Linked DNA regions of Xenopus tropicalis. The protein of the gene in region 5 purifies or fractionates together with the protein of the main gene of each other region. This does not show direct contact. Links are inferred from orthologs where the notes say so. Each region holds a gene or a part of one and is shown on either strand. Other genes may lie near its edges.

What was found.
Region 1: the proteins of sap30 (region 5) and sin3b purify together in Homo sapiens (affinity purification with mass spectrometry; 4 studies listed by BioGRID and IntAct, with this or other methods). This does not show direct contact. The link is inferred for Xenopus tropicalis from reciprocal best matches to the Homo sapiens genes SAP30 and SIN3B.
Region 2: the proteins of sap30 (region 5) and sap130 purify together in Homo sapiens (affinity purification with mass spectrometry; 4 studies listed by BioGRID and IntAct, with this or other methods). This does not show direct contact. The link is inferred for Xenopus tropicalis from reciprocal best matches to the Homo sapiens genes SAP30 and SAP130.
Region 3: the proteins of sap30 (region 5) and brms1l purify together in Homo sapiens (affinity purification with mass spectrometry; 4 studies listed by BioGRID and IntAct, with this or other methods). This does not show direct contact. The link is inferred for Xenopus tropicalis from reciprocal best matches to the Homo sapiens genes SAP30 and BRMS1L.
Region 4: the proteins of sap30 (region 5) and arid4a purify together in Homo sapiens (affinity purification with mass spectrometry; 5 studies listed by BioGRID and IntAct, with this or other methods). This does not show direct contact. The link is inferred for Xenopus tropicalis from reciprocal best matches to the Homo sapiens genes SAP30 and ARID4A.
Region 6: the proteins of sap30 (region 5) and suds3 purify together in Homo sapiens (affinity purification with mass spectrometry; 4 studies listed by BioGRID and IntAct, with this or other methods). This does not show direct contact. The link is inferred for Xenopus tropicalis from reciprocal best matches to the Homo sapiens genes SAP30 and SUDS3.
Region 7: the proteins of sap30 (region 5) and arid4b purify together in Homo sapiens (affinity purification with mass spectrometry; 5 studies listed by BioGRID and IntAct, with this or other methods). This does not show direct contact. The link is inferred for Xenopus tropicalis from reciprocal best matches to the Homo sapiens genes SAP30 and ARID4B.

What each region holds. Positions count from the first base shown.
Region 1 is NC_030677.2:111,954,575-111,959,163, forward strand, and holds the start of sin3b (paired amphipathic helix protein Sin3b), read left to right. Parts: upstream 1-1,603; 5' UTR 1,604-1,676; intron 1,677-1,689; exon of another isoform or gene 1,690-1,826; intron 1,827-3,876; 5' UTR 3,877-4,031; coding exon 4,032-4,109; intron 4,110-4,589.
Region 2 is NC_030681.2:125,411,046-125,415,171, forward strand, and holds part of sap130 (histone deacetylase complex subunit SAP130), read right to left. Parts: intron 2,998-4,126; coding exon 2,765-2,997; intron 1,406-2,764; coding exon of another isoform or gene 1,247-1,405; intron 327-1,246; coding exon 212-326; intron 128-211; coding exon 1-127. UniProt on the Homo sapiens protein: Acts as a transcriptional repressor. May function in the assembly and/or enzymatic activity of the mSin3A corepressor complex or in mediating interactions between the complex and other regulatory complexes.
Region 3 is NC_030684.2:108,267,345-108,272,181, reverse strand, and holds the start of brms1l (breast cancer metastasis-suppressor 1-like protein), read right to left. Parts: upstream 3,082-4,837; 5' UTR 3,020-3,081; coding exon 2,884-3,019; intron 1-2,883. UniProt on the Homo sapiens protein: Involved in the histone deacetylase (HDAC1)-dependent transcriptional repression activity. When overexpressed in lung cancer cell line that lacks p53/TP53 expression, inhibits cell growth.
Region 4 is NC_030684.2:103,539,542-103,543,667, forward strand, and holds part of arid4a (AT-rich interactive domain-containing protein 4A), read right to left. Parts: intron 3,414-4,126; coding exon 3,253-3,413; intron 1-3,252.
Region 5 is NC_030677.2:48,755,069-48,759,194, forward strand, and holds part of sap30 (histone deacetylase complex subunit SAP30), read right to left. Parts: intron 1,402-4,126; coding exon 1,276-1,401; intron 1-1,275. UniProt on the Homo sapiens protein: Involved in the functional recruitment of the Sin3-histone deacetylase complex (HDAC) to a specific subset of N-CoR corepressor complexes. Capable of transcription repression by N-CoR.
Region 6 is NC_030677.2:165,497,036-165,501,596, forward strand, and holds the start of suds3 (sin3 histone deacetylase corepressor complex component SDS3), read left to right. Parts: upstream 1-1,418; 5' UTR 1,419-1,817; coding exon 1,818-1,944; intron 1,945-2,477; coding exon 2,478-2,547; intron 2,548-4,561.
Region 7 is NC_030681.2:55,884,557-55,888,682, reverse strand, and holds part of arid4b (AT-rich interactive domain-containing protein 4B), read left to right. Parts: intron 1-328; coding exon 329-1,459; intron 1,460-4,126. UniProt on the Homo sapiens protein: Acts as a transcriptional repressor. May function in the assembly and/or enzymatic activity of the Sin3A corepressor complex or in mediating interactions between the complex and other regulatory complexes.

The DNA.
Region 1 (4,589 bases), about 63 Mb from region 5:
ACTAAGATGTGTGTGTTTTAGAAAAACCGAGCATGTGTGTCATGAGTGCATATATAACATCAATAAGGATAAAACACCAGTGCCCCCGGAAGTGTGTATGAAATAAATAGATTAATTTATTGCACATCTTAATATAATAGCAAAAATCTGCCAATAGGCTGGGAAGAATTCAGGATACTAAGTGCTTGGTCAGATTAGGCTAAGAAAGAAGCAGCAAAAAAAAAGCTTCTTGAAGGGAACAAAATGAACCATTTCGAACATCTGTTGACTATCATAAAAATATTGGTTATATCAGATCTGGGTAAGTCCATAATAAAAGTCTTGGACTAGGGGCGCTGCTGCCAAGAGGCGTGTTGAGATACTCAGAAGGTAGCTCCCCGCATCGGCTCGTTGAACTGTAGACTTTTGTGCATATGCCAATTGAGGAGAGGGGGAGGTCGAGGATGAGAGAGCCTGGGACTCTAAACCTATTTTTACAAACCAAATCTATGGATTTTTTTTACATGGGACTGGATTTTTGAATACCCTTAAGCCAGCTGCCAAAGCCCACTGAAACAAGCCCACGCACACATACAGGCCACAGACATGTGCATGCTCATTTGAACCTATCCACTCCCAATCCTGCTCTCAGTCGCTAGCTCCTACTGGCAGCACTGGGCACCCAGTGCAGACGTGGAAGCATAGTGTGCCACCCTAGGCCCAGGCCTTTCCACAAATCTATGCCTGCTTCTACAGCTGTATTATTTAAGCCATGATTATAGAGCTATTACTAAGCACAAATACCACAGGTTGAGGCTGGTTGTTTGACATACAATTACAAGCTTCCCTAAACATTATAACTGTTTCCAGTGCTTAGCAAACGAAAACAAGCTGAATACAGCTCCAATTAGGATTCTAAGTTATTGTCATATTCACACTACAGCAATGTACCATAGCAATCAATGATACAGAGCTGTCAAGTCAACCCCATCCAACTTTCCTGGACGTTAACAGATTTTGGACCTCTTTCCCCAATCTATTTTTACCCAAATAATTATACTTTAGGGTTCACACCTAGCTGTTAAAAGCTTTGTAAAGCCTGCTGTATTTGGCTATAGGTTACTGCTCACATACTACTTTGCTCATTGACAGTATAAATAAAACTGAGTGACATAAAGCAACACTGGGCAAATCTACACCTGCTGGGCACTGACCCTTAGCAACATATGCTTGCTTTAATTGAATTGCCCGCAGTCAGCCGGGAAGAAATCTATTCACTGATTGGCTGGAATGCTTTCCGCACTAAGTATAGTTGGATATGTGTAATACGCAAGTGGACCGATCTTTTGCAGTTTATAAATGCCTTTAGAGGGAGCTGAAAACTTCATTCATTAATTTGAGCGTCCCGCTTGCGTGCATAATTTCCTACTTCCTTTCCAGAGGAATTAACCCCGCCCTTTTTTGACCCAGTACCCTAGCCGAGTTCCCCCCCCTTGTCGCCAAATCACGTGATCTTGACATCACAGCAGGCCCTTCACTCTCACAGCGTTAGAATATGGTTAAGAGCGATGGTTGCGCCGAGTGCGTCCCCGCCGCCCGGAATATGTGGGCGCGCACTGGAACGCGCACGCAAGGTACGGATCATGGGAAACCTTCCTTCATGTATCACCGGACGTTGCTTCCATTGCTCAATCTTGGTAAATAATTCAAATGTCTCAGCATCCTTTTCAGCTTTGATTGCAGTGCAGAGGGTGGGCTGGATCCGCACGGTGTTGAAGACTGCGTTGAAGCCGAATGATTTACTCGTTCGGGGTTGAAATAGAGAAAGGGGCGCGATGATAAACCAGGCCAGTCGGCAGAAATACAAAATTACACGTACTTTTCTCCTGTCTCTCTGTGTGTGCTGTGTATTATCAGTCAGCTCGTCTAACATCCCGCTCCAGCGTCGCGTCTATTGCCATTCACTTCGTGACCCAATTCTAATTAATATCCAGGTTCTAATCTGCTCCTGTCACTTCTAATGCGCTCTTCTATCATACCCGTTGTTGTAAAGTGCTAAAGGGATTTGACTACATCATAACTCGATCATTCCTTTTCCTGTAGCATTATATATCTTTATTGTCTCCCTCATTGCAACATCATTTTTGTGTGTAGCCCCCATCACATACATAGTGGCTTGTGCTGCTTATCTTGTTCATCAGCATACCTTATTATGGGTACACAATGTGCATGTTAGGGGGAGGGGGGTATTCCAATGTAGTCTGTATCTGCTTTCCTTAGGTTGTTAAAAAAAAAAAAATGACAGTGTTACGGCCACCCCTGATAAAATGGCTCATTACTTGGTCTACTGGCAGTTTCATATGCCTCGGGCAAGAAGAAGATGCTCTTTCTGGTGCCCATGGGGTGAAACTAGAATAACTGAGGCAGAGATGTGTTTTTGTTAATTGCTAGAGGGATGTGAGTCCCTTAGAAGCAATTCAGATAAAAAAAAGGGGTTGTTTGACGATGCAAAGAAATCTGCTTGGTTAGGTATTTAAACCTTTGGAAAATGTTTTGTGTGTATATATAGGTGTTGTTTTTTAAACTAGAAAAAGCATGATCCCACCATAAGCCAAAGGCTGTCAGAGGTCCTATTTGTTGTTTAAATACAGCTTCTGGGCTATAGGATGATTGCCTTGAGCCCAAAATACCTGAGCAGACTATTCAGTTGCCATGGGGGGGGGGGGAGGGAGGAGGGAGGGCGCAGTGATGATGCTTGAAACTATTGAAATATAGGCTATACCATCAAGTTTAAGGGTGAAGAGACACAGAGCTACTAGTAGCAGCTACTTGTCGTGGCTACTAAAGTAGACAATGCTGACCATTTACTGATAATTGTATCTACATGTGTTTTAAGGTCCCCATACACGGGCCGACTATAGCTGCCGATATCGGTCCCTTGGACCGATTCGGCAGCTAATCGGCCCGTGTATGGGCAGAACAGAGCAGCCTGCCCGACCGATATCTGGCCTGAAATTGGCCAGATCTCGATCGGGCAGGTTAGAAAATCCAGTCGGATCCGGGACCGCATCGGCTCGTTGATGCGGTCCCCGAACCGACTGCCCCATAACCACAAATGTATTTTTTTTTTAAGTTTCTTGCTACCCGATATCGCCCACCCGTAGGTGGGGATATCGGGTGAAGATCCGCTCGCTTGGCGACATCGCCAAGCGAGCGGATCTTATAGTGTATGGGCACCTTTAGGCACTTCTCAGCATTGTCTATGGCAGGGTATCTTCTGGTGTTTAGTAGCCATGAAAAAGTAGCTGCTAAAAGTAGCTCCCTGTGTCTTCACCCTAAGCACCCAAACGAAGACCATTGTACTTAAAGGCACTGATACAATCTGCCATCACCATCGCCCATAAAAAAAAAAAAAAAAAAAACAGATAAGATAAAATCTTTGAGAATAGCAACATACTAAGGCTAATGCAGGCAACTTCATGCAACATCAGAAAATGAAGAGGCACCTACGCTTTTCCACAGGCAAATTACTTTGTTGCCGGTGGAAAGGAGAGAGAAGTCGCCTGCTGTAGCAGAAATTTATCGTGGGAGACTAATCTCCCCATGAGACATTACCCTTAGCCCTCAAATGCAAAGTGCCTATTTTGTCCATCATCCATAAATAAGGCCCATTGTGTTTCAAGCTTGTAGAAGTATTGATTTGATGGAACAGGTGTTAACTTGCTCTTGGCTCTTCTATAAATTTGTTTGTAAATGTCTGTATCTCTATTAACTAATTATTTTGTTTTAAACTATGAAATCCTGGGCAAAATTATCAATGAAAATGATCATTTTAAAACATGAAAAAGTATTTTTTAATTGTGCAAGATGAATTACATTTCTATTTTCTCTTTTTAGGAAATATTTGCAGCTGTTCCTGGTGTCCACAGGGAATTCTGAAGCAAGTGCTGGATCATGCTTCCCCAACTCCAAGTGCTTAAGCCTTTTATTAGACTTTCTTCTGAATAAGCCATTTCACTACTGTACCAAATTAAAAAAAAAAAAAAAAAAAAATGGCGAGTGGTGGAGGTGGTGGTAATTGCAAGCCAAATTCAAACTGGAGCAAACCTCAAGAAAAACTCCCAGTGCATGTAAGTATAGAAAGCAACCAGTTTGTTCCTATTGATCATAGATGTGTGTGCATTGTTACCTTATTGATACCTCAAGACATGATATTGTGCGTCCTTCTTTTAGGCTAGTGCCACACAGGGTGGTTTCTCGGCCTGAGAATCCACCCCTACACTCCAAAAAAGCTTTTGGTTGTTCCTTCACCCAGAGCCATTATGTTGGAGTTCAGTGCAATAATGCCCCCTTGTGCAGTTTTGCGCCAAATTCTGCTGTGTGCCTGTACCTGGGCTGGTGCAATGGCTCCTGGTGTAGGCACATTCAAAAGCTTTTTTTGGGCGTAGGTGCGTTTATCTGCATGCCAAGAATCTGCCCATGTAGCATTAGCCTTAGGTGTCTCTTTTACCCCAAAGTCATGCGTTCATTCATTCTAAACACTTGATATTCTCCTCTTTAAAGAACAATATACCCACTTGTCAACATAAGTGCAACAAATAGGACTTGTG
Region 2 (4,126 bases), on a different chromosome or scaffold from region 5:
TGGATAGGGGGGTGAATAATGTGTTGAGTGGCTGATTGGGCAGCAACTGCGCTAGGTATCTGTGCTGAAGCTGGTCTTAACATAGTAGTCACTTTAGAGCTTGACATGACAGCTGCTGCAGCAGCTCCTAAGAACCAAAAAACAGAATGTGAATGAGGGATAAATGCAATGGTCACAGTGCACATCAGTCACAAAATCACTACTCATTTACCTCTGGGAAGATGAGAAGCTCCAATATGCAATGGAGGTCCTGGGGCACTACTACGGATAATTGACATCTGAACATTTGTGGCAGCCACAATATGGTGGAGGCTGTTGGGATGCCCCTGTATTAAATAAAAAAAAATACACAATTACAGACTACTCTAAGTGATTTCTTTCTGCCTGCCCTCTAGCAGAATTAGGAATGTTATTTGATTTTAGCCTAAAATGCCTTCAGAGGAAAATCCACTGTAGATATCAAGCCAGAGAACAGAGATTATATCAGACTTATGAAGCATTAAAGGAGACATTTTATATAAAGTTCATATTCAGTTATAATATTCATACTCCCTCAAAATGTGAAATGATGCAGAAAGAAAGATGTTTTGAAAGCATTTTACCTCCTAAAACTGCCATTATATGAGAGCTGCATACACAACATCTTTAATCAGAAGCCAGAGTGAAATGAAACATGGGAGTGTCGCTTCAGTCTCCCACAGGAAGTGGTCACAGCACTGACTGACAGGCTTTACTCAACAGTAGCAGGGAAAACCCCTCCCAGTTTCCTCCCTCTGGGTCTCTCTGCTTGTGCTGCTGCCAGGAGGGGTGGGGGGGGGGGGGGGGGGAGAGTGCCTGTGAAAGCCCCGCCCACTCTATGCATATTCACTGCACCGTAAGTAGGTGAGGTTGTGTCAGTGAAGTCTACCATGGCCAGCTGCCCCAGCCACATACTGAGGAGTCTAAACAGGAAGCTTGCAAAGGGTGTGGGTAGAGCACAGTTTTCAAGCAGTTATGGACATATTTGAACCCAAAGTTATTAAAATAAAAGCACTTACTTCTATTTTACATGGTTTAGTGCATTGTAAAAATGTATGGTATATATCCCTTTTAAGGAAGAGAGTGTTACAACAAATGAAGCAAGCAATAAAAATTAATTTTAAAAAAATCTATGTTTGTCTGTAGAAGCAAACACCCCAATAAATAGGGGTACACTGTTCTATAACCTAAACGTATAGTACAGTATTTTATCTTTTACAGCACTGACCTGCTGCCCACTTATTGTGGCCACAGGGATAGCAGAGGTCTGTGGAAGACCACTCTCCATTGTGACAGTCACTTGGCCAGAGACCTTTGGTACAGCAGACAGTGCAGAGGGAGGTGCTGGAGCAATAGGCCGGCTAGGCATAGTAGACTTTGAAGTCTGCTGTGGGAAAACATCAACAGTAAACTTCTGTCAAGACAAAGTAACTTTAAGAACCTCTTTATCTATAATTTCATTGACAAAATAGAGTGATATGAATATGCAAAAGCTGATACAGTTGTGTTTGTGAATGCTTTGGAAAGCAAATATCACAAAAAAAAAATAAAATCCCTAACCTGGTTCGATTACCTAATTACTATGTTTTGCAAAGTTGTTCAAATTACACATGATTATTGTACAATATATACAAATATTAAGCTTTTAAACAAAAGGTAAACTGTTATGTCAGTTAAAAGCAGACCATAAAATTATATCTGGATTACATTGATAGCTCCCTTAGCCTTCTACAAAGCCACATTTGATAATAAAAGGTTCCATTACATCTGCATAAATATTTTTAGAGGGCAAAAGCATGTTAAAGGAGTAGAAACACCAAAAATTAGTGTTTGAAAGTAATTAAAATATAATATATGGCTGCCCTGCACTGGTAAAGTTCTGTTATATAAACTGTAGTAGCAGTCACAGGGGCAGCTGGAAAAAATAAGAAAACTCATGTTAATAAGCAGATAAAGCTCTATAGAATACAATGGTGTTTTACAGAGCTTCTCTGCTCTGTAACCTATACCATTCAGGTTTAATATTTCAATGTTATTAGCTATCCCATGGCTACACACCAGCCTTGTTTATATAAACTACAGTAGTGTTTGAGGCAAACACACAACTTTAACCAGTGCAGGGTAATAGTACAAATATATAAAAGGGATTCTGTCACAATTTTAATGGTGTACTTTTAATTTCTAAATTACACTGTTTACATTGCAAATAATTCCCTCTACCATTTTAAGAGTTATTCTTGAACCAACAAAAGTAATTTTTAGCTTTAATTTAAGTGTGTAGGTGCCATCTCAGTGCATTCTGCCCGATTCCGAGCTTTCAGAAGGAGCCAGTGCTACAAATTAGAACTACTTCCAGATAACCTATTTTTTTTCCTAGAGGAGTCAGCTGGACTTGGATGTTTTACTATTAAGTGCTATTCTGATATCTACTGCTTTTAGGCTGATGTCCCACGCAGAGATTAGCCATCTGTGATAGATCTTTGCTACCGTGGGTGAATAATCTCTCCTAAATGTTCCCGCTAAAAAGAATTTTGTGTAAAGCACACAACTGTATCTATTCCGACCTGAGCACACTGTTTTTAAAAATGCGCATACAACTTTAAAATGTGTGCACAAAAGAATTTTTTTGTGCACACACAGCCAAACTTACTTTGCGTTAAATAAAAATGAAGCAGTTTTAAAGCCTTTAGGCCACCATTAACAAAAGCATATAAAAAAAAAACCAAAACCCAAAGCAATCTATTACCTTCAGGATATTCTCAGAGAATGACAATGGAACAGCTGAGGTTAGGTGAGCAGGTTGTGCAGTCATACTGAGGGAAGGAGCAGGTTGCAATGGATGGTGTGAAGCCAACATCTGAACTTGAGGGTAAGGTCTGACAACCACAGGTTCCTGCTTATCGTCGCGTGATGGTAGAACTGTGCCAGCACCAATTGAATCACGGGATTGGACATCCATGTCTCGTATTATCTCATCTCCTACATTAGGAAATACAGCAACAAACATTTTATTGCTTTTTTTGTGGCCCACTGAACAAATTACTGATTATTTATGCTCTGTTATTTACTGAGAACTTAAGTCATCCACATAAGAAGCAATCAGGTTGTCTTCGTCAAATCACTTACCTAGTTTAAAGATATGTGCTGGTTTTAAAAAACTAGGCCAACGAGCTAAAGGTGGACATACACGGTAAGATCTGCTCGTTTGGTGAGGTCACCAAACGAGCATATCTTCTCCCGACACGCCCACTTAAGGTGGGTTATATTGAGCTAATTTGGCCCTAGGGCCAAAGAATTGGAATTAAAATGGCGGGTATATGGGCAGTCAGACCGAGAACAGCATGAACAAGCTGATTCAGCCCTCGATCCAACAGAAAATAAAACCTGAAATTGAATTGTCAGGTAGGCCCTTCTGGTGCCCATACACAGACACATAAGCTTCTATATCGGTCTGAAGGATCCAAAACTGAAGCTGAAATCTGCCCATGTATGGCAACCTTAAATCAATAAATTTCCTGTGACTTAATGTGTGGATGAGAAAACCAAAAGGTGCCTTTCAGGTCTTTGCGCCAAATTGGTGTCAAGCAGTTAGCTGGCAGAAAGCAAGTAATACACTGATGTGGGCAGTGTGTCTTTACCGTACTGGCTACTGATATAACAGGATTTCCATCTTGTAACTTTCATCAAAAAAACATGGTTGTGGAAAAATCAAAACTCATTACAGAAGAAAAGGCTTAGATAGTACAAGTGCTTTATAAATTGTTTTCAATAATGCATTTCAAACATCTGCATTCAGGGCAAAAAAATCTAAGAATTTTAATTTCCAACCCTAATTTCAATAAGCTACATGGTGATTTTTTATGTAAACTGTAAACTATGTAACTATGATACTTTTTTTTTTTTTTTGTTTCATTTACTTTACAATTTCGTTCTACATTAAAATCTGCTATGAGAGTATTTATTTATTATAGTATACCCATGATATTTATTGACTGAATAAATCCTGAAATACTGCCATTTGAATGTCCACTACAATTAAGTTTTCTATTGACCAATTGTAGTATAAGTAAAACAAAATGTTTCAAAATGTATCTAGTTATGTTTAATG
Region 3 (4,837 bases), on a different chromosome or scaffold from region 5:
GAAGTTGCTTTAAAGGGGCAGTATATCTCCTTGGTTCAATGTGAGTACAATAATTTTGGCTTGTGACAAAGATATTTTTTCCTATTGTTTTAGTTACAGAAAAATCTATGATTTTGTTTTTTCTTGAGTTAAACAGGCAAACAGAGAGATTGAGCCTACTCCATGTTTGGTCTTTGTGAAGTAGATAATTAGATTACCACCATATAATCCTCTCCATTCACCACTATACCTGTTTTGTTAGCAGGAGTCCATTATGCAAGGGGGGGGGGGGGGGAGGGGATTATATGTGCACTGGAAATCTAAATGATCTCCCTTGCTAGGACCAACCATAGAGTAGCTTCAATTTCCCCATTTGCCTTGTTTAGCTCAAGGAATTACAAAATATGTAGACGCTTGTGATTAAAACAATAGGCAAAAAGTATGTTTGGCATAAGCCCCATTCAAAGAACTCATGTTGAACAAAGGGGTACACCTCCCCATTTAAAGAAGAACAATGCCTTTTATATAAACATATGTAATTTTCCCAATTAGACAGCAACATTTTGAGCCCTTTTATTATGTTCACAGAATATTTTCCTCTAGAGAGTAAATGGAAATATCGATAGGGCAGAGAGAGAAGCCATACATTTACAGACAATTTTTACACAAGGTAATTTACCACTACTACAAGTGAAGCGTTGTATGTACCCACAGGCATCTGTCGGTCAGGAAGGAATTTTAGTCTGGAAGCTAAAATAGCTCTTTCAAGAAGCTTACAAATACTAGTGATGGGCAAGACAAAAATCATGTACAATCCAACATCCAGCAGACCAATCAATCAATGTAGGTGTGAGCTCCTGTTTCTTGCTAATGAAAAGGCCTCAGTATCTCAGCAAGCACAAAAAAGAACAGGTTTACATTTCTAGACTCCAAAACACATTCCTTCTCTACATAAATTCATGCCCTGCCTGCAGAAGGACTAAGGGTAATGTCCCATAAGGAGATTAGTCGCCCACAATAAATATCTGCTACTGTGGGCAACGAATCTACCTCAGAAACTGTTTTACTGGCAATAAAGGGAATCACCTATGGAAAGGCTTATGCATTGCCTTTCCACCAGCAATTCATATTATTTGGATATACATGTGAATAGCCAAACAGTACTGTTTGGCCCAAATAAACTGACCTTTGCTGCAGCTACTTTGACTTACAATATGCCAATGCATCAAACATGAGCTAAGGGGGCATCTAAAGAGAATGTGTGGCCAACTTAAGTGATGGAGCAAAATTTTGTAAACATCTGTATTGTTTGTGGTGCTTTACAGAGGTCCTCTGTTTATGGGTTTTCAGCATGCACATGATGAGATAGATAGACAGACAGACACCCAAAGCAAATGGTAAAATTCTCAAATGAACAAGATGATCTGAATGGAAGAGAAAGGGGCAGCCTACATCAGAGTTCTGTGGGCCTAGGTTTGCAGACAGGGCACTATAAGCAAAGTTGGTTTTCTTCCAAGAGCTAAAACCATGCGGGCTAATTGGCTCCTGATACAGCTTATTTTTGAATTTCTGGTTTTGATTGCATAAACCCCAGTGTAATTGCCAAACAGATCCTTCTGTAGGCTTCCAGTCAACATAGGGGCTATCAAATAGCCAATTATAGCTCTCATTGGCACCTCCAGGAACTTTTTTCATGCTTATGTTGCTCTACAAAACTTTTTCCATTTGAATGTGGCTCATGGGTATAGAAAGTTGGGGATCCCTGATTTAATGACTTTAATGTCTTTTATATTTAAAAATGTGTCTTGGAGAACTCTCCCCTATAAATGTGGGGGAGAATCAGCCTGCGAGACCTGTGCTTTGGTCGAGAGGCGATCCCCCTGCATAATGTTTTCCTGCTTCATAAGCACAGACAAGGGCTGTATCCTGGTAATTCATCTTTAGTTACTCTAAACTTTAGTTTCCCTGTTTAGCTCAAGTAATAATAAAATCCATAGATTTTTTGTGATTAAATCAATAGGCAGTGTTCAACACAAGCCTATTCATTGCACTAGTGCAGAGGGGGGTTCACTGTCTCTTTAAACCAGTGATCCCCAACCAGTGGCTCCGGGGCAACATGTTGCTCACCAACCCCTTGGATGTTGCTCCCAGAGGCCTCAAAGCAGGTGCTTATTTTTTGAATTCTTGGTTTGGAGGCTGCCAGTCCACATAGAGGCTATCAAATAGCCAATCACAGCCCTTATCTGGCACTCCCATGAAATTTTTGAATGCTAGTGTTGTTCCACAACTATTTTTACATTTAAATGTGGCTCATGAGTCCAAAAGGTTGAAGATCCCTGCTTTAAACTAACATCTGAAGAAGGATCTCACAAAAACATTGACTGTCCATTAAGTTTCTATCTCTATCTTACCTATAAACAATTGCTACATTACAATATGCCTTTAGCACTTGTTTCCTACCCCAAGAGGCACCTTTGATAATGGGACCTAAGATGTAAATGGCTACTGACACACTGATACGTTCTATGAATGGAAATCAATGGCACCGATACACAGGGAAGGATCACTGTTCTGAGGGGAATCACATCCAGCATGTGCCTTGCCTGTCAAGATGTGAGGGGGGTTGCCTCATATTGAAAAGACAGAGCTTCCATAACCAAGAAGTCCCTGTGAATAACTGCACCACAGCACAGCATTGCTTTGCGGCAAAGGAAGAACAGCAAAGCGCCTTTATTCCACTGGTGGCCGCTCTATCACTGAACTAGCCAAGTACCAGGGATCCGCAGGATGTGAAATCCCTGAGCCCGCAGCCGTCCCACCATGAAACAACTAGCGGCCACAGGCGGTAGTGCAGCCGTGTAGATGTGCGTGTTGCGAGCAGTGTTGGAGCAGTCAGCTGCTTACCCGAGCTGTCTCCCTCTTCGCTCCCGCTGGAACTATCCGAATCGTCCTCTTCGGAACTAGTGCCTTCATTTTCCGGATAGTCAACCTCCATATCATTGTGGTTACTTTCCTTCTTTTCCCGTGAATGAACCGGCATCTTCGCTTTCACTCCCTCCGTCCTAAAACTGCGCCTCTCCGGACCCCAATTTCCACCCGCGCCGGCACCCACCTTTCCTTTCCTATTGGCCACTCTACGGTACTATATTTTTAGCTCCGCCCATATATCATTCGTTCGCGCTTACGATTGGCTTAAGAGCACGCATCATTTACTAGCCATAGGCCACAGCAAAACCCTTCCGTCGCTTATTACTCGCTCCTACGTTTCCATGAAAGAACAAGGGCGGACCCTGCGTCTTGCTGGGAAATGTAGTTTCGTCTTTATTACTTACTGGATGACACGGCAGGAAATTTGACTACAAATTCCGAAGGCCATTGCGAGGCAGCGTGCTTTTTCGGGCGGTTTATAAACAGAGAAGACGTCAGGCTATAGTAATCAACCACCTTTGTTCCTATCAATTTGAAGCTGTACTTTATAGAAGCCTAGGTTTGGTAGAGGTTTAATGGATATTTAGTATTAGTGTCCATCCGGTCGAATAGGATTTCGGCTGTGCATGTGTGGGATCTGTTATCCGGAATGCTTGGGATTTTTGGACAAGGAGTCTTTATGGAGTACCATTCCCAAAGGCTCCTAAAGAACACTAAGTAAGACCCAATATGATTAATTTGGATTTCTGCAGCTTAGTTATGATCAAGTACACAGTACTCTTATTATAGAGATAAAGGAAACATTAAAAAAAAAGAAAGAAAAATAATTGCTTGTTTAAATAGGATTCCAAGGGAAGTGGCGTTCCAGTATTTTGGACATTTTTTAATAATGGGTTTCTGGATAATAGATACCATGAAACGGCTTTGCTTTTGTAACTCTTTTAAATGTATATTTCATTTAACATTGTGTCCTTTTATAGGGATATAATGGTGCAGTCCAGGATTTCTCATCATCATTAATACCTAATTTCTCATCATTGCAAACAAATGCACATTTCGACATAGGCACCCAAAGACACGTGCACAACATTCTTTTTGAAATCTGGGCGCTCTGAGGCTGCCCCCCATTCACCAATACCGCCCCCCCCCCCCCGTGCGCATGTTCGAACAAACCTCTCTTCCCCCCCCCCCCCCCCCCCACTCCCATACAGAGAAGTGGGGAGTAAGCACTATGGAGAGATCATCTTCCTGCGTCTCCCTTTTTTGCTCTGGGTGTGAATGCACAGTATGAAATGCCAAGCTTTTACTAAAAAGCAGGGTTTTAGGGTTTTTTGTTTGTTTTTTTACTCTGCTGTGCATGTGTCAGCCTGGGGTCATTAAAGAATGAAGAAGTGGAAGAAAGCAAATGCTCTGCAGCACTCCCTCAGAGATCCGCTTGTTTGGTCCTGTTGCCAAAGAAGCAGCCCCGTTTTGACCACCCCTCAGCGGTCCAAATTGGGCTGATCTGACCTAGCCAATGGTCAGAACATACTGCAGACCTATAGAGACCCGTAACTGTAGATTAAAACAGGTATAAAATCCTTAAAATTGCTTTGTATCTATCCTATGTATGTTAACAGTCCTTTAATACATTAGTACCCACTACATCTAAAGTAAGGCTATTTAAAGGAGAAGGAAAGGTAAAAACTAAGTAAGTTTTATCAGAAAGATCTATGTAAATACAGCCATAAGCACTTACAGTAATGCTGCACCGAGTCCTCTATCAAAAGAAACACAGGATATCTTTTCTCCTTTTTTGTGTGGCAAATCTATAGGCAGTAAAATGCCAAAATTACTTTCCTTCTTTAATTATTTTGCTAAAAAGGAGAACTATTGTGATCATGAAATGTTTCATTTTATGGAAATAAATTTCTTTTCATATTATTAAGCA
Region 4 (4,126 bases), on a different chromosome or scaffold from region 5:
CCTGTGTCACTAAAAGGTACCATTTTCTATGCAAAGCTTTTTCTATTGCCCTATTGTATTAGGTCCCTTGCAGTTACTGAGCCTTTCTAATCACAGTATTTTTGCAGTGATATTATTCTTATTAAACTGAAGACTTGATGCTGGGATCTGATTTTTCTTTGAAGGAAAACTTCAAAGAATTACCACCAAGGGCTATAAAGTTAAAATTTGCCCATTATTGCTTCATATATTAAAAGTATGTTTAAAAATATTGATTTTATGTTTGTTGAACAGGCAGCAACTGGTAGCAGAAAAGCACTTTCTTTGTATTACTTGCAATAATACAAGTCACGAAGATGATTTTCTCTTCTGACTTTCATAAGCCATAAAATGACAAGACAAAGATGCACAAAGCACCATTTTAGCAAACTTTAACAAATTTGGAATAAGTTTAAGGGCTCTGGCACATGGGGAGATTAGTCGCCCGCGACAAATCTCCCTTGTCACGGGCGACTAATCTCCCCAAACTACCGTCCAACCGGCGAAAATGTAAGTCGCTGGTGGGATGGCACACGCTGCACAGGCGATTTTGGCAAATCGCCGAAAATGCCTCGCGAGGCATGTGCCATCCCACCGGCGACTTACATTTTCGCAGGTGGGACGGTAGTTCGGGGAGATTAGTCGCCTGTGACAAGGGAGATTTGTGGCGGGCGACTAATCTCCCCGTGTGCCAGAGCCCTAAGGCTGATGCCACACGTGGCGTAGGGCTGATTTTTTTGGCAAGTCGATATACGCATGAAAATGCGAGAGAATGCAAAGTCTCGCGTTTTCATGCGTATATCGGCTACATGTGCCTGCACCCAAGCGTATTCCATTCATTCGGGTGCAGGCACAAGTAGCAGGCGTAGGGCTGAATTTTCGGCAAGCGTTTTTCCGCTTGCCGAAAAAATCAGCCCTATGCCATGTGTGGCATCAGCCTAAGAGGTACAGGCACTGATGAAACAGCAGGTTTGTTTTCTCCAGATTCATTTTTAGAGTAAAATGTTTGTGTGTTGAAACCCAAACATGCACACAAAATAAATAAATAATCCTTCAGAGGGAGGTGGAAAAACATTCCAACAAGGAAGCAAAACCTTGTTCACTTTGAACCAATTGTGTATTGACAAAATATTTGCCCAGGGCGCAAATAAAGCACAAGTAACAAACTACATGATTGTATGTTAATAAAATTAGGGAGACTTAAATTATCCAGCCTCTGATTAACTCATAGTACACATAATTAAGTTTCAGACAGGTATCTTCTCATGATTATTGTCCTTTAAATGATAAGTAACACCTCTGCCATACAGATAAATCAATGTCATAAATAACAGCAAAGCAAATTCTAGTTCAGAATTTCACTTCAAAAAGTAAATTGTAGGATTCTTAAGGTGGCCTTACATGTAGCAATAACGATCTTTCCCACGACCATTAGTTGCAGGAAAGATCGTTCCCACCTTCCATTGACATTCAGGGCTGAATCGTCAGATATAGAGGTAGAAACAATAGAAATTCTACCTCCACCTGACAATTATCAATAGTGTTACTATTAAACCATCCTTTAAAGGCCTGTACATGTTAACATGCAACTCAAAGTATAACATTCTAAAGGAGTTTTTTTGAATGTTCACTTTAAGGGTTGTGTTACAAAAAGTGGCTCAGTGTTAAGAAAAGCAGCCGTAAGAAAACACTAGTTCATAATGACAGTGGTTGCCCTACAGGGTTTGCACACTTAGCTTTACTAATGGCAGAATATTGCCAGAATAATGATGAAGATTATTTTCACCAACACCAAATGCCAAAGGGATTAAACTGGAACATGGGTGCTGCAGTCCTCCATAGTCTGGTCACTGGGGCAAGCACCCCAACAAATTAACATTTAAAGCTGCAAGCAAAGCACTTCCTGCACAACGTAATAACAAAGATTTCCCCATTTTACAGAGCATGTTCATAAACAAGGACAATCTTGATCTGAAGTTACACTAAAAATCCTTTCCCATACTCTGCTAAGATATTGCTTATTCTACTGACATTTAATAAGTCTAAAATATTATCTTACATTATTGCGAGAAATAATATAATGCACTGCTTCCGTTTCATTGATTTTGGTTGGCTGCAATAACAGCCACAGCACCTCTGGCACCCAGCAGGCATGATTTACTTACTTATAACCCTCTACACCTTCCCTGTGTTCTGGGCCACCTTGTCTATCCATGGCTACAACAAGCATTTTGTTTGGGGAAAAAAAAGCCATAACTAGGGTATTTGGGGGCTTAGTGTCACACTTCAGACAACTGGCTTCTTCCAGCCTGCAGCCCTCATTTTATTTGACATCCAAGGTATAGCCCTTGTGTCCCTTCAAGATGGTGCATGTGCAGCATATCAAGAGCCAAAGAAAGTACTGTATTGTTCATGTGTCCATTTAGATTGGTGCATTAAGTTCTCTGGTCTGCAACCATCAAATCGATTTTAAATGCACAATTAAGAAACACATGAATCTACTACATGAGCCATAGTACAGACCAACAAAAAGATAACTGGCCATGGAGAAATTTAGTGTGGGATTCAGTGCAGCGAGTTCCATGCAGCATTTTTTTGTAAGCCATTAATCTCTAATGTGCGAGAGAGTTTTTTCAAACACAGGGCACAATATAAAACACAGCAAGAAGCTGGATATTTTCTCAAGTTCCCTCCCCTTACCCTAGCCTATAAGTTATGTACACAGTGGTTGCTATGTGGTGGCCTTAGTATAATATGAAAGTGATTAAAGGGCCAGTACACCTTCATATTTTTTTTTTTTTTTTTAAATCTTCCCCGTGGGTTTGACAAATGGAAACATTAACTGTTAAATGTGTATTTACTTTCCATTTGGTTTGTTTAATCAAGTTTTGTAAAAAAATGTTACTGGCTGAAACCTGCAGCTATAACCTTGGCTAAGCAGCTATTGTATAACTCAATGGCTGGCTCAATGACCCATCAGGTGTTATGTTGAACTTGGAAATCCATTCTGGCTCAAGCTTCTGAAAAGGCCTTCCAGTGTATTAAATTAGTTCTAACAACGGTTTGATTTTAATACTTTTAATACCTCATTCACTATTTGCCATTAATCTTTCAGGAATATACTTAAATTTGCAAGTTCCACACAACAAAATACTCTCATCAAGCCTGTGCTCTGTAGGCTACGGAGATAACCAAGAATTCTACATTTTCCCTCCACTGAGTAAGCAGTCTTACCTCTGTTTCCACCTCCTCTTCTTTGTTTTGATCACTGTCACAAGCATCATCCTCTCCATCTTCTTCATCACTGCTGGAAGATTCAAGGATTTCATTCATGTCCATTTTCCATTTTTCAGGGATTGTCTTGGAGATCAAGAAAGCAATGGCATCCTGCACACCTAGAACCCAGCCAAAGAGAAAGTTTTCACTAAGCACCAGCACACAATATAAAAAAAAAAACATAAAAATAAAAACAGGCAAAATGTGCTGGAAAATGTTGTCATAGAAAGTCACACTTCTGCAAAGCAACATTTTTACTGATGCTGACTAGGTAAGGAGGACAAATTAGAATTACATCATTTAATGTGACCAGGGCTCTCAACTGGAATCAGTGAATAGATTGTAAGGTTTAAACAATTTACACTGATATACCCACATCATTGTTTCTTTAAAGGTGCTTAAGGAGGCAGCAGTGAAATGATGACTAAATCAAATTATTGATTTTTTTTTTCCCACCACTTTTAGTCCCATTTACATTTGGCATTGAATATTCTTTTCAAGGTACATTTTCTGCATCATGTGTAATTGGCATGGAGCTCACTATAACTCATGTATTGTTAAACATAGAACTACCTCTGATCAAGTATATGTAAAGCATATTTTCATATTTAACTCCTAAAAATAATGCTGATATCTTGATAATATATATGCAAATTTAAAAAGCATTGACAATTGCAGATCTGATTTTTCCAACTGTGTATCCTATAGAAGAATACAATTTTAAAAATAATGTTTCACAATTATAAACATATTACAGAAAAATAAGTCATACATGATTTACAAGTTTAAAAAGTTGTTCTATTGCCATCAACCCAAAAGTGGGTTGTGCTCA
Region 5 (4,126 bases):
AACTCGCGCAAGTTTCCTCTTTGCCGGTGGAAACCCTTTTTTCGGAACGGTTACCTGCCCGCCATAGCAGAAATCTATCACAGACGAGTAACTCACTCCATGGGTTCTTACTCTTAGAAATACTTTCAGATAACCTACTGTTTCTCCTACTCCCATGTATCTGGAGGAGTCCTAAGCCAGACTTGGATTTCTTATTGTTGAGTGCTATTCTGATATCTACTTGGAGCTGCTATCTTGCTGCCTTCCCATTTTAATGCTGATTGGCTGCTGAGACGGGGGTGATATCACTCCAACTTGCAGCTCAGCAGTAATGTGTGACTGATGTTTATCAGAGCAAAGGTCACATGGCTGTGGCACCCTGGGAAATGAAGAATATGTTTAGCCCTATGTCATATTTAAAAAAATCTATTTGTGTTTTTGAAAATGGATTTCAGTGAAGGATTCTGCTGTACCAGCTCTATTAACTGGTGCGTTTTGAAAAAACATGTTCCCATGACAGTATTCCTTTAACTGTGTGAGCCAACCAACTCTCATACCCAATATCTGTAAACATAGATATTTTGTCTTCAAGAGAAAGTACAGTCAATAAAAATATATCACACTTATTAGAAGAATTCATTTAATGTTGAACAGTATTTTTATACATTTATCTGCCCACAGTTTCAGTGTCTCTCCCTTCAGCTGTTGACTCATTTGACAGTTATATAATGAGAATAGGGTTGCTAAGGAGAGGGTGGAGCAATAGCTCTTTCTTACAAAATCACTGAACCCAGCCAGGAAAGAAACCCAGTCCAAAATACATTTCCTCTTCAATATAATGCAACATTTCATTACCTTAGATTTTTGATCATCCAGAACAGTAGTGCCCATTTGGAGGCCCATGAGTTGGTATTTGTACCAATGGCTCCATGTACATCATCATTTTGATATAATCTAATCTACAAATAACTACTATGTCAGATAATTAGCGCACTACACAGGAAATGTTGGGCAGAGCTGATCTAGGGAATATCTGACACACAATATCTTACTTCACAAACTATTATGGCCTCAGAGTTACCCCTGAACAAACCCTAGCATATTAGATAATGTCTTGACAATTCAACAATTGAAGCTTTGCACAGCTAGAGGGGGAGCTTTGTAATGATAGCAGTGCAATGCGAGACAGCAATGTTACAATGCAGTTGCTTCTATAGCTTTCTAAAAAATAAAAAGGCTAAAAGTTACATTTAGTTTATGTACAATATATACAGTCTAGGAGGGAAACATAAATACCTCAGGAGTATCAGCGTCATGAACAGGGGAATCACCTCCATCATCATCACTGCCTTTCCTTTTCCTTCTATTTCTGACACTCTGAATTAAGTTCTTGTGAAAGTCACAAATATAAAGGTGCCTTGCCTAAATAAAGGACAGAAACAAATGTTTGCAGATATATCCTAGAGAGAAAATGATCATAAACAGAACAAGCACAGACTTTTCCTACTATCTGGTAAAGCTTAGTAAATACTAGAAATGGCGGAAGTGGAAGACAAGCAGATCATCTACTACAGGGCACACAATTTTATGGGACTCCCATAATGCATTGAGATACATATGCTTTCTCACTGACGGTGGCATTATTAGTAGTTTTGTGCGTTACAGAACCCACCAGCCATCCCTGAATTTTTTGGAATTCAACTATATTTTGAAAATAGGATGTGCAGATTGCACCAACCTGTCACTAAAATACTTGGTTGATAGTGTCTACAAGAACATCTGCCAGAATCTAACACTCCCTTTAAATGCTGCAGGAATCAGGTTGCTGCCCAACAAAAAGTAGACACCAACTCATCTCAGGATGCAAAGAGTCATGTCTGAGGTTATGGCAGTTGTCCCCCCAAAAGTTTTGTTTTTTGAATAGAAGTCCTTAGGAAAGCAGGTCCTCCGGATGATAGATAACAGAACAGGACTAACCATTCCCATTTATAAAGGCGTTTTATAAATAAAGGTGTTTTATACTAGGCCTGTGTGGGACAGTTTGTGAATTTGTGCACTTAAAAATACTAGAGCCTATTTTGAATCTCAGGTCTCTTGAGTGTGAAATTATTGTTTACTAGTGGGTATATACAGTAGATTATACAACTCCAGTAGGAGAATGGACTAAAAGTGGCTTTATATTTGAAGATCTGCTTGTTTGCCGAGGTCGTCAAATGAGCTTATCTGTCACCGATATGTCCATCTTGAGGTGGACGACATCAGATTGATTTGATTGTTTGGCCCGTCGCATCGAATTGACGGGATACAGGCCATCGAGATGAGGACTGAATTGATGTGGTGATGCACTCCTCATCACTACTGGATATTTAAACATGCCCGATTTTTGGACAGCTATCGGTTGGGGAGGCTCATCTGGGGGCCCCAAAATCAGACATCAGCAGTTTTTATAGCCTGTGTATGGTCACCTTAAGAATACAAGGTGAACTGTCAGACTTTGCTCAGATCAACCTATTTAAAAAAAAAAAATCTTGCCTGATGCCTCTGATACCATTGATATCACAGCATACATTCGCAGACATGGGGAATATTGGTGTGTGTTTTTACCAGCATGTATCCTTAGAGGCAAACTCTTATTGCTATAGTCATGTATATACAATATGCTGTATTAGATATATCAAATGGTATATAAATTAAATCTTTATAATCAACATGTCAGTGATTTTACTCCAGACTGAGGCCAATATATTTCACTATTACACCACCTCGGAGCTGGAGTATCCCAATCAAGTCAATGGGACAAATCACATGGTAAAAAAAAATTCGGACATATAAAGGGTGTAGAAAGCTATGCAAAGTGGTGACAATTAAGACAATCAACACTCCTGTTAAAAAAAACCAAAACATTTCTCTTTTTAATCTAGTATTTCACACAATGCTAAATACACCAAAGATGATTACACAACTGTGTAACCACTTATGACAGTATGAGGTATAATGGGATGCTGATGTGGTAATCCTTGGTGTATTCTATTGCAGTGCCTTTTGTAATAACCTATATAATTAAATATGTCAACCTCAACATAATATTATTTTACTCCTGCAAAAAACTCAGTCTTTTATGGTTTGACAGTTGCCCATTCCAAATCCTTGGTTCATGATGGAATGTGTGTATGAAAATCAGAATAATTAAATATATTTCCTTGATCATGTAACCTAAAGTCATTTAATTTTTGCTTTGGATTCAGCTTGGTCAGAAAATGGACAATGATCAGATTAACCTTGAACAAGACATTAATATCACGGTAGACATGGATCATGAATCAAGCACTACACTTACCCCAGGTATGCCAATAAATTCAGTGCAGCAAATGAATAGATTCAAAGCATTACCTCACCACACATACACAAGCTGAGTTCCCCTAAATCCTCCCATTCTGCTCATCTCTCTCACTCCCCCTTGCCTGCGATGAAACTCTATGGTTGTGCATTCCACTGTGAAATGCTTATACCAATTGATACAATTTAATCAAAGAGCTCCAAGCAGTATTAACAAACTCGGGCAGAGCCCTTTCTCAAGTTTCACTTGAAAAAGTGTACACTTGAGAAAGGGCTCTGCCCAAAACATATAGGGGTGTATTTATTATGCTGTGTAAAACTAACAGTAAAAAGCTGTGTAAAATAAGTGGAAAAGATCGCCATCTTAACGGCGGATATTACGCAGTTATTTTCCATAAGTTCTGGTGGAAGAAAAAACGCGTAAAACAATGACGCCATTTTAACGCCATTTTTATACGGCGAAGCCCGGCGAATTTTCTCGCCATTTCTTACACAGTATAATAAATATGCCCCACAGTGTGCTTATACTGCTAATAAAAAATACTGCAGTTTGTTAATACTGCTTGGAGTTGTTTAATTCATTCGTATCAACTGGTTAATTTGGGGTGATACACGGACACCTAAAATCTACACCCATATGAACTTTGAATGCTTTACTTGATACCATAATCCCTGTGTATTCTACGACTTAAATTAATAGGATAAAAGTTTTCAAACTACTTTTTGCTCATGTTCCCTTTTGATTTCTTTGCTCAATCCTCAATCCTTTGCTTAATCCACTGTTCTGACTCTCGTGCTATATCTTTTACAT
Region 6 (4,561 bases), about 120 Mb from region 5:
ACCTTCTGCCCAACACCCATCAAAATTTGCCAGGGGAATCACAGTCAGTCAAAGAATGTCCTACATTGTTTGCTTATTTGACCATATACATGAGGAGGAATAAATGCAAAAAAAATCCCTAAATCTTGACTTTTTTTGCTCTTTGGGATACTAAGCCTTAACAACTTTACTACTAACCCATAACAACTCCACTGTGTCAAGAATGGCAAGCTTTAAATATGTATTTGTGTATGAAATACAATTTTTAGATTAAATTCACCTACTTTTTAACAGGGCCACTTTAAGGTACCAGCAGGACCTGGGCAAAATTTAACTGGTGGGCCCCCAATGTCCAAGAAATTTGTAACAGAATAGCACATGAAGTTTAATATAAAGTGGCAGGCAGTGAAGAAATGGTCTGCGGTTAAGTAGACATGATACCCAGGTGTGCCGCCACGGACCAACAGCCCTGGAAGCAGAAGAATTACAAAATAGTGAAGAAAAAAAGGCAAAGAAATTAAAATAACCATAATAAGCAGATCTTTCAGTTGATTACAGTGAGGGTCTGCAATATCTGGTTGGTGCTTCTGCCAAAAGTGATCCCAGACGAAAGTTGTGCTAGTGTGACCCCTATGCTGGTGATCCCTGGGCAAGTGCCTCTTTTGCTTATTTATTAAAAGAGCCCTGCATTTTAAGATGATTGGGCCTGCACTATATTGGGGTATTAAGCTGACCCTTACCTGCAGGGGCCCCTGAAGCATACAGGGCCCAATAAGATACTATAAGTTTTAATCAGTGTTTATGAAAATTGTGTTCTTCCTAATGTTTGAGGGCCTTTAAGTGATTTTACTTTGGGCCCTATAACTATTCTACATCGCTGCACTCAGCCTCTCGGAAGGCAGCACCTATATGGGCAAGGATTCAGAATAAGCAAATGCCTGATTTCACTAGCAGTACCACAGCCAAGAGTGTAATGTAACTCTGATAATGAAATAGTTGAGCCCTAGCCTTTACCAACTACCCGTGAGAACAAGCGCCAGCACCAAGAAGCACAAGCATTACACCGAGAGAATATGGAGCACGGGGGCGTAGAACAGGAAAGTGGGTCAAGCAATAAAAGTAAATCGGGCAGCTTTATTTGCTCTCCGGCTGGCTCCACGCTTTGGCAACATTGCTGCCACCTGCTGACGGATTGCGAGTACTTCGCCACAAAAGAAGAAAGGAAACGAACCAAAATCAAAGGCTAACAAAAGGGCGACTTCGGTACATTAGTATTAAACACATATAACTTATAATTCCCAAACCAGGGCTTTCCAGCTGTTTGCAGCATTCTGGTGCCGGAAGTTTAGACCAACATATACCGTCGCACCGCTGATTTGACAGCGCTCCAAAAACACATTACTTAGCAACGCCCCTAAGGTAAACGTACCTATACGCGAAACAGAGCCAGACTCGGCCTATGGAGTCAGGGCAATGCCTGTAGCGGGACGTATCATACATATAGCAATACTCTCCTATAAAGGCTCAGATTATTTTTATGCAACTGGTGACATCATTTTTGCGCACAAGTGTTTGCTTTCCGCTCTTATAATGCGCCGCGCTCCCCGTTCGGCCTATGTTTATTATCAGGCAGGGTACGGGGCAGCTTGTGAGGAAGTAGCGCTATTGGAAGCCTGAGAGGACCCCGTTGCCGTGCGGCGCTTGTTGGTTCATTGATGGGAGGCGGGTCTCCCGGGTATGGGAAGCGGAGTGCTGTGTTGATTCGGTACCGATAGGATTTACGGCTGCGTTACTGGGTGTAAGTGTGTTCGGCTTACTGCTACCCCTGTGAAAAGAAAATGTCCTCGGCTGGTGTGTTGTCTCCTGCCGCCGCGGCGGCGGCACCTGATTACTACGAGGAGGACGAGCTGGAAAGTGTGGAGGAAGAAGATGACCGAAGCTTCAGGGGCAGGGAGTCTGATGAAGGTAAGGGGGCTCAGTCCCCCAACTTGTTTATAAGCTTTGTATTGTTTGTTTTTGTAAGAACTGCGATTCCCGTAATGCATTTTTTTTATCGCCATTGCGACATGTAAGTAATATGTTAAACACTAAAATAAAGTGGGTCCCAACACTTCCTAAAGACAACTGCAACTTATATCGGTGCGGCACCCCAAGCCTCATAATCCTCCTTGTAGCTGGTCCGGGATATTAATGTTGCTTAAGCTCATTTCGTGGGACAGTTTGATTATTAAATAGGCCGGTCATTATAGGATAAATCCAGTGACAAAGCCCTTTTAATTAGTTATGTATTTTCATTATGGTTTTGATGAATAGTGTTTATGGAATGTTATTTGTGTTTATAGTAAGCAGGAGCCTTTACATTTCTGTCTCAGCTGAGACATTATCATTTAGTTCCTGTATAGAAACATTACTCCTTTAGTAGGATTTATTCTTGCGCTGTGGTAATATTGTGTTGAGATATAAGATACAATGATATCATGCTGCTGTTATTTTCTCAGATACAGAAGACGCCAGTGAGACTGACATTGCAAAACATGACAATGTTGACTATGTGGAAATGAAAGAACAGTATGTATACATCTCTCTTCCTTTGCCTCTCTGAGGTCTCTGCATCAGACATAAGTGTTTAATGATATAATCAATAATCAAATCAATGATTAGCTTCTTGCACAAACAGGACACCCCTTTTCAACATAACTACAGTTAGACATATGACCAGTGTCCACCAGGATACCAAGAAAACTCCCGGTGGGCCTAGGTGTCAGTTGAGCAAGCACAGACGCTATAGCTTGGAGCTTCAGTAAATAGTTTTGTTGATCTTTCTTCACCCCCAAACCAGCCATAACAACTTAAAGGACATGTAAACCCCACACACAAAAATTTAATCAGTGAACCGCTAATTTGAAATCTTTGAATACCTGCCACACTGCTTGTCCAGAGGTTAATAGTAAAGGTGCCCACACACGTGAAGATCCACTTGCTTGGCGAGGTCGCCAAGCGAGCGGATCTTCTTTCGATATCCCCACCTACAGGTGGGCGATATCGGGAAACATGTAGGCTAATCTGATCGTTAGGCCCTGGGGCCAAGCAATCGAATTAGAATGGCGGCAATGGGGCAGTCAGTTCAGGGACTGCATCAACTAGTCGATGCAGTCCCCGATCCGACTAAATCTTTTAACCTGCCCGATCGATATCTGGCCAATTTCAGGCATGCCCCTCATTCCTGCCCCTACACGGGCCACGGGACCGATATCAGCAGCTACAATCGGCCCGTGTATGGCCACCTTAAAGGAAAAGTAACACTAAAAGTTTTTAACTAAAAAATCTATTCTACCCTCCCCCAATAATTGCCCTATCCTGAAAACCATTTGTTATTTTGAATGCTTTAGTAGAAAATACCTGTAAATCGATTGATCAAGCCTAGCCTGACTTCTGTATAGGAAGGAGTCAGGCTAGGCTCGATCAATGGATCGCCACATAGTTGATGCATCTCCTGATGCTTTCGCCGGCATCGCCGTATCGCCTTTGTTCAAATGACAGGAAGCCGAGTTTAACAGGTATTTTCTTCTATAGTATTCAAAATAACAAATGGTTTTCAGGATAGGGCAATTATTGAGGGAGGGTAGAATAGATTTTTCAGTTAAAAAATGTTAGTGTTACTTTTCCTTTAAGGCTGCAATATCTCTTTAATCACTTAGATTTCCTTCTCCTCCTGTAACCCACTCGCCCCCCACCTTCGGGAATTTGCTTTGATTTCTGGCTTGCCAGACATGCTCAGTTGTTCTAAGCTCAGATTACTAAACACGCCCTCCAGTCTAGCAGCCAGTAAAGAGATGGCATTGCTGGTTCCCAGATTTAAATGCATCAGAGGAAAAAATGGCCATTGGGTGAAAGCTGCTATTTGCTTTAGAAAAATGTGATGGTGCTGGCAAGCGGAGGGGATATATGCAGTACAAATGATGCCATTTGGGTGGGGGAGACATTCCCAACTGATATACATTGTAGGCAAATGTAGGCTTTGCATATTGTATCCTAAGATGATATTATTTATTTATTTTTTTTAATGTTCCTCTGCCGGAATGATGTCAGTATTTGTAAATTATATATCCATTCTGGACTTGTTTATAGTTCTTTGCTACTCCCTTTCTCTGAAACCCCGTTAGGGGTAACTTTTATAATCTTTGCGTGTCAACAACTACATAATATAATTTAGTCATAACCTATTCAGCATTAAGCAACTTATCCACTGCAGGACTATCTGTATATATTATTTTTTAAATACATTTTAGCATGGGGAATCAGTATTATTTGATATATATATCAAGGATACATTTTTATGATGATTTGTCTAGATACCTGAAGGGATATATTTAACACTGTATAAAATGTAAGATAGTGAAAAAGTGTAGATAGTACAAAGGCATATCAGATGTTGAAACTGGGAAATGTTATTGGTTTTTTTTTGTTTTTTTTTAATATTTGCTCCTTTTGAATTTGATCCCAGCAACATGTTTCATAAAAGTTGGTCAGGGTAACAAAAAACTGTAGTTGTGTAATGCTAAAATGAGCATCCCAGAGAGGC
Region 7 (4,126 bases), on a different chromosome or scaffold from region 5:
GCTAAAACGGCCATATGCAATCAACAGAAAACTGTATGGGCTGTACTTCTGTGTTGATCTTGATCAACTTTTATCTATTTTTATGATCCCGCCCCCTTCCCCCACCAGTCTTTATTTTTGTGGTTTTAATTATGTAGTTCTCCATTTTGGAATTTCAGCAGCAACTTTACCCTAGCAACCAGTTAATGGTTTGAATGAAAGATGAATAGGAGAAAGTCAGAAAATTGGAATTGGAAAGTTGCTAAGAATGACATTTTCTTTCATTACACAGACTAGTTTTTAGGTGAAGATGTTCTAATTCTCATTTTATAATTAATATTTTTCATAGCTGCTGAAAATTCTGCAGAGGACAGTGAAACTGATCACAGTAGCCTGAATATGGACAAAGAAGAAAAGGCATTTCACATGAATCATATAAGCTACGATATCAATCAAAGATTGGATGAAAACAAAAGCTTCCCTTTAACAGAAGGAAATTGTACTGGTCTTGATCCTATATTGGCAGTAATACCTAGATCCCCTGACTTACTAAAAACAGTGGAAGATTCTTCAGACGATACAGACTATGAAGTAGAGTCTGCAAGACAAAGTAAATACTTAAAGAATGATATAACTAAGTCACAGAATAAGCGTGGTAAAAGAAAATACACAGAAATGGGAAAGGCAAGGTCCCCTAATGGCAATGAAGTGTATTCCAAGTGCAATGAAACAACTGATAGACTTGATGCAGGTAGTATGACTTCCTCAGACGATGAGGAAAAATCTAACCCAAAACATGCATTATCAAACAAGTACAATGGTTTTGAGGACAAAAGGAAATCTTTGCGAACAGGTTTCTATACAGGCTTCTCAGAAACACCTGAAAAAAAGATTAAGCTTTTAAATAATTCGGAAGAAAGACTTAGAGCCAAAGACCGCAAAGACGTTTGGTCAAGTATCCAAGGCCAGTGGCCGAAAAAAACTTTAAAGGAACTTTTTTCAGATTCTGATACAGAGGGTGCCACTTCCCCATCTACTAGGAATCAAGATGAGAGTTCCTCTCTTCAGCAAAGTCATGACAACATTAGAATGTCTTCATCTGAGGTGTCTAAACCAGAGAAAGATAATGGACTAAAGCCTGTTGATGAGAGAGCTGCTGAAATAAGTGACAAAAAAATTGACTTTCCCAGTAGTGGTAGTAACTCTGTATTGAATACACCCCCAACAACCCCGGAGTCACCTTCTACTTTAAGTGAATGCCAAAAACAACAATCAAAAAGTGACATTTTAGATACTTTAGAACCAAATCAGGAAGAAGTTCAAAGCATGAAAAGTGAAACTGATAGTACAATTGAAGTAGATAGTGTTACCTGTGAACTGCAAGATCTCCAGTATGAAGGGCGATTTTCACCAACAGGATTTGATGCAAGTATAAGTTCTAGTAGCAGCAATCAGCAAGAACCAGAAAGTAAAGAGAAAAGTAAGTGACATGAAAATCTATCTTTATTAATTTTGTCTTCATGTGGACCCAGAATGATAATTGATTTCATATGCATCAAGTGGTATATGTTTCAGCAGTGTATGACAGTGCATGTTTTGCATTCAAAGGGGCCATGGCAAAATGTATTCTGAATTATGTGTTGGTGATTATTAAACAGAGCTCTCATTGGCTGTAGGGCAGTATTGTTAGATCAATGTATACATGCTGAGAAAGTTATCCTGTGTGTGCATCATGGGTGTTTTGGGCACATCATTAGATGTTGGTCTGTAGCTCTGTGATATACATGTGTAATTCCATTTCTTTAACATCTTATAGGATTTAAGTACTGAAATTTTGTTAAATAGAATATTTGTAATGGTATATTTCAGACACATTTTCTGAACTAAATAGACCTGATTTGAAAATCCCCAATTTTTTGAGCATGTCAATACCAAATATAAATAATTTTATAAATGTTTCTGACACTTACAGATCAAAAACCCCTGGCAGTGCACTACCAACATTTTTAAGCTCTGCTCCATGAATTGGAATACTTTATTACACTGCAAGGTCATGGTAGGTTTACCCCAAGAAACCATATATTTGTCAAAAGTACACATTCTGACAAATACAAAATGATTAAATATATCTTGTATTCCAAATTTTGCAAAAGTTTTTATAAGAATGTCTGAATATTCTGAAAAACTTTCAGATTTCTTATCTTACATGTAATTATGTACCAATATAAAACACTATAATGTATTTATAGTGCATAGGTATACCAAAAGTAAAATGATTCATGAAACTTGTCATGGTGGACAAAAATCAACACGTTAACTGCATTTTTGATGGAAACATTGTCCAGAACTGCAGCATAAAATGGAGTCTACATTCTGTGCTACTTTAACCCTTAAGTGCCACAGAATGTAAAATCTGCATTGTATGTATAGTAAATGCTGGCTGCTACTTCTTAATAGAGCAAAAACTGAACATTTCATTTGTTCAAATCCTGAATTTGTTTTATAGAGCCTACATCTCTAACTGTAATTTCTTAAATTTTTTTTCCCAATGGTGGAGACAAGGGTGTTACAGGGGAACTGTCACCCAGACATAAAAAGCTGTATAATAAAAGTCCTTTTTTAAAAAAACATTAAACATGAAACACAGGCAATTAGGTTCACTTTCCATTCTGCACTTTATTGATGTCATTGCACTCCTATCTACCTCCTCATGGTCTATTATTATGTATCCTGTGCATGGACATGGGCATCAGGTTCCTTACTCTGGTGGCTAAACAAGATTTTGTGATAATGCAAGTCTTGTCTTAATGTTCACAAAATGTCGCCTACCTGCTTGCTCTGATTGTAAACTCCAATACTGAAGGAAACCAGAATTATATAATTTATATAGGGGCAGATTTATCAAAATGAGTTTACAGCTTAATACATAAAAATTGACCCATGTTATATTCACTTTAGTGGGATTTTTAGAAGTGTATTTATCAATGGTTGAAAAATTCAAAAATCACCATTTGATAAATACGATTGGTAAATGAACTTCTTCACTCTGTGTGTTTTGTTTGTATATGTGGATATAAAGGATAAAAAAGCTGCTTTATTGTTCTATGTACCAATGCAGCTTCAACAGTATCCTGCCCAGCCCAGCCCAGCTTTACTTCCCCTCTGCACATGTTTGCTGTTGAGAGGTGTGGCCTTGTGACATACCACAGCGAATCAGCTTTTACTTTGCTCTGTCACTCGCACATTTCTGTGTCACTGATGCAGACCAGGAAGCCAGAGATTCTGGAGGGTGGGGGGTGGAGGCTGCTTCAATAATTAGCCATAACTTTGTAACAGTGCAAAATGTTTAAAAGCTCTAAATTGTCAAAATGCTTGTTAAGACTTTTTATTTTCAATATTATAAAAACATTTTTCATGACTGTTCCCTTTTAAAACTGTGTCAGCCCAGGTGCAATTACACAGAGTGCATTTCGCATTGTTCTGCATTCTCGGCCTGCATTTATCTGCAGCCTGAAAAGTGGGAGTAGCCTTGCACTCAGTTTGGGAGAAGAATGTGAATTCATTGGAGACTTAGGCTAATGTCTGACGGGGCAACTTAGACTTTTCAAAGTTGCGCAAAGTTGCCTGCAGGAGGAAACTTTGCACAACCTCGGAAAACCGAATCAATGCATAGGCCTTTCCACCGGCGACTCCTGTTGTTGCCGGTGGAAATGCAGTTCAGAGTGGTTAGTCACCTGTGCAGTAGCAGAGATCTCTTGCGAGCGACTGACTAGCTTTGTAGGCCACCAGCCTTAAGCCATACACGCACCAATATTATCGTACAAAACCTTGTTTCGTATGATATTTGGTGCGTATATGGTGGCTCGAAGAGGCGACCAATATCGCAAAGGCTGCAGATATCCACTGTCTAGGGAAGGGATCCCCAAACTTTTATATAAATGAGCCACATTTAAATGGAAAAAGTGTTTGGGAGCAACACAAGTATGAAAAAGGTTCCTGGGGGTGCAAATAAAAGCTATAATTGGCTACTTAATAGCCCCTATGTGGCATTATATTTGGTTTTTATAGTTTTTAAGTTTTTATGCAACCAAAACTTGCCTTCTTACGAGAAATTCAAAAATAAGCACCGACTTTGAGGCCACTGGGA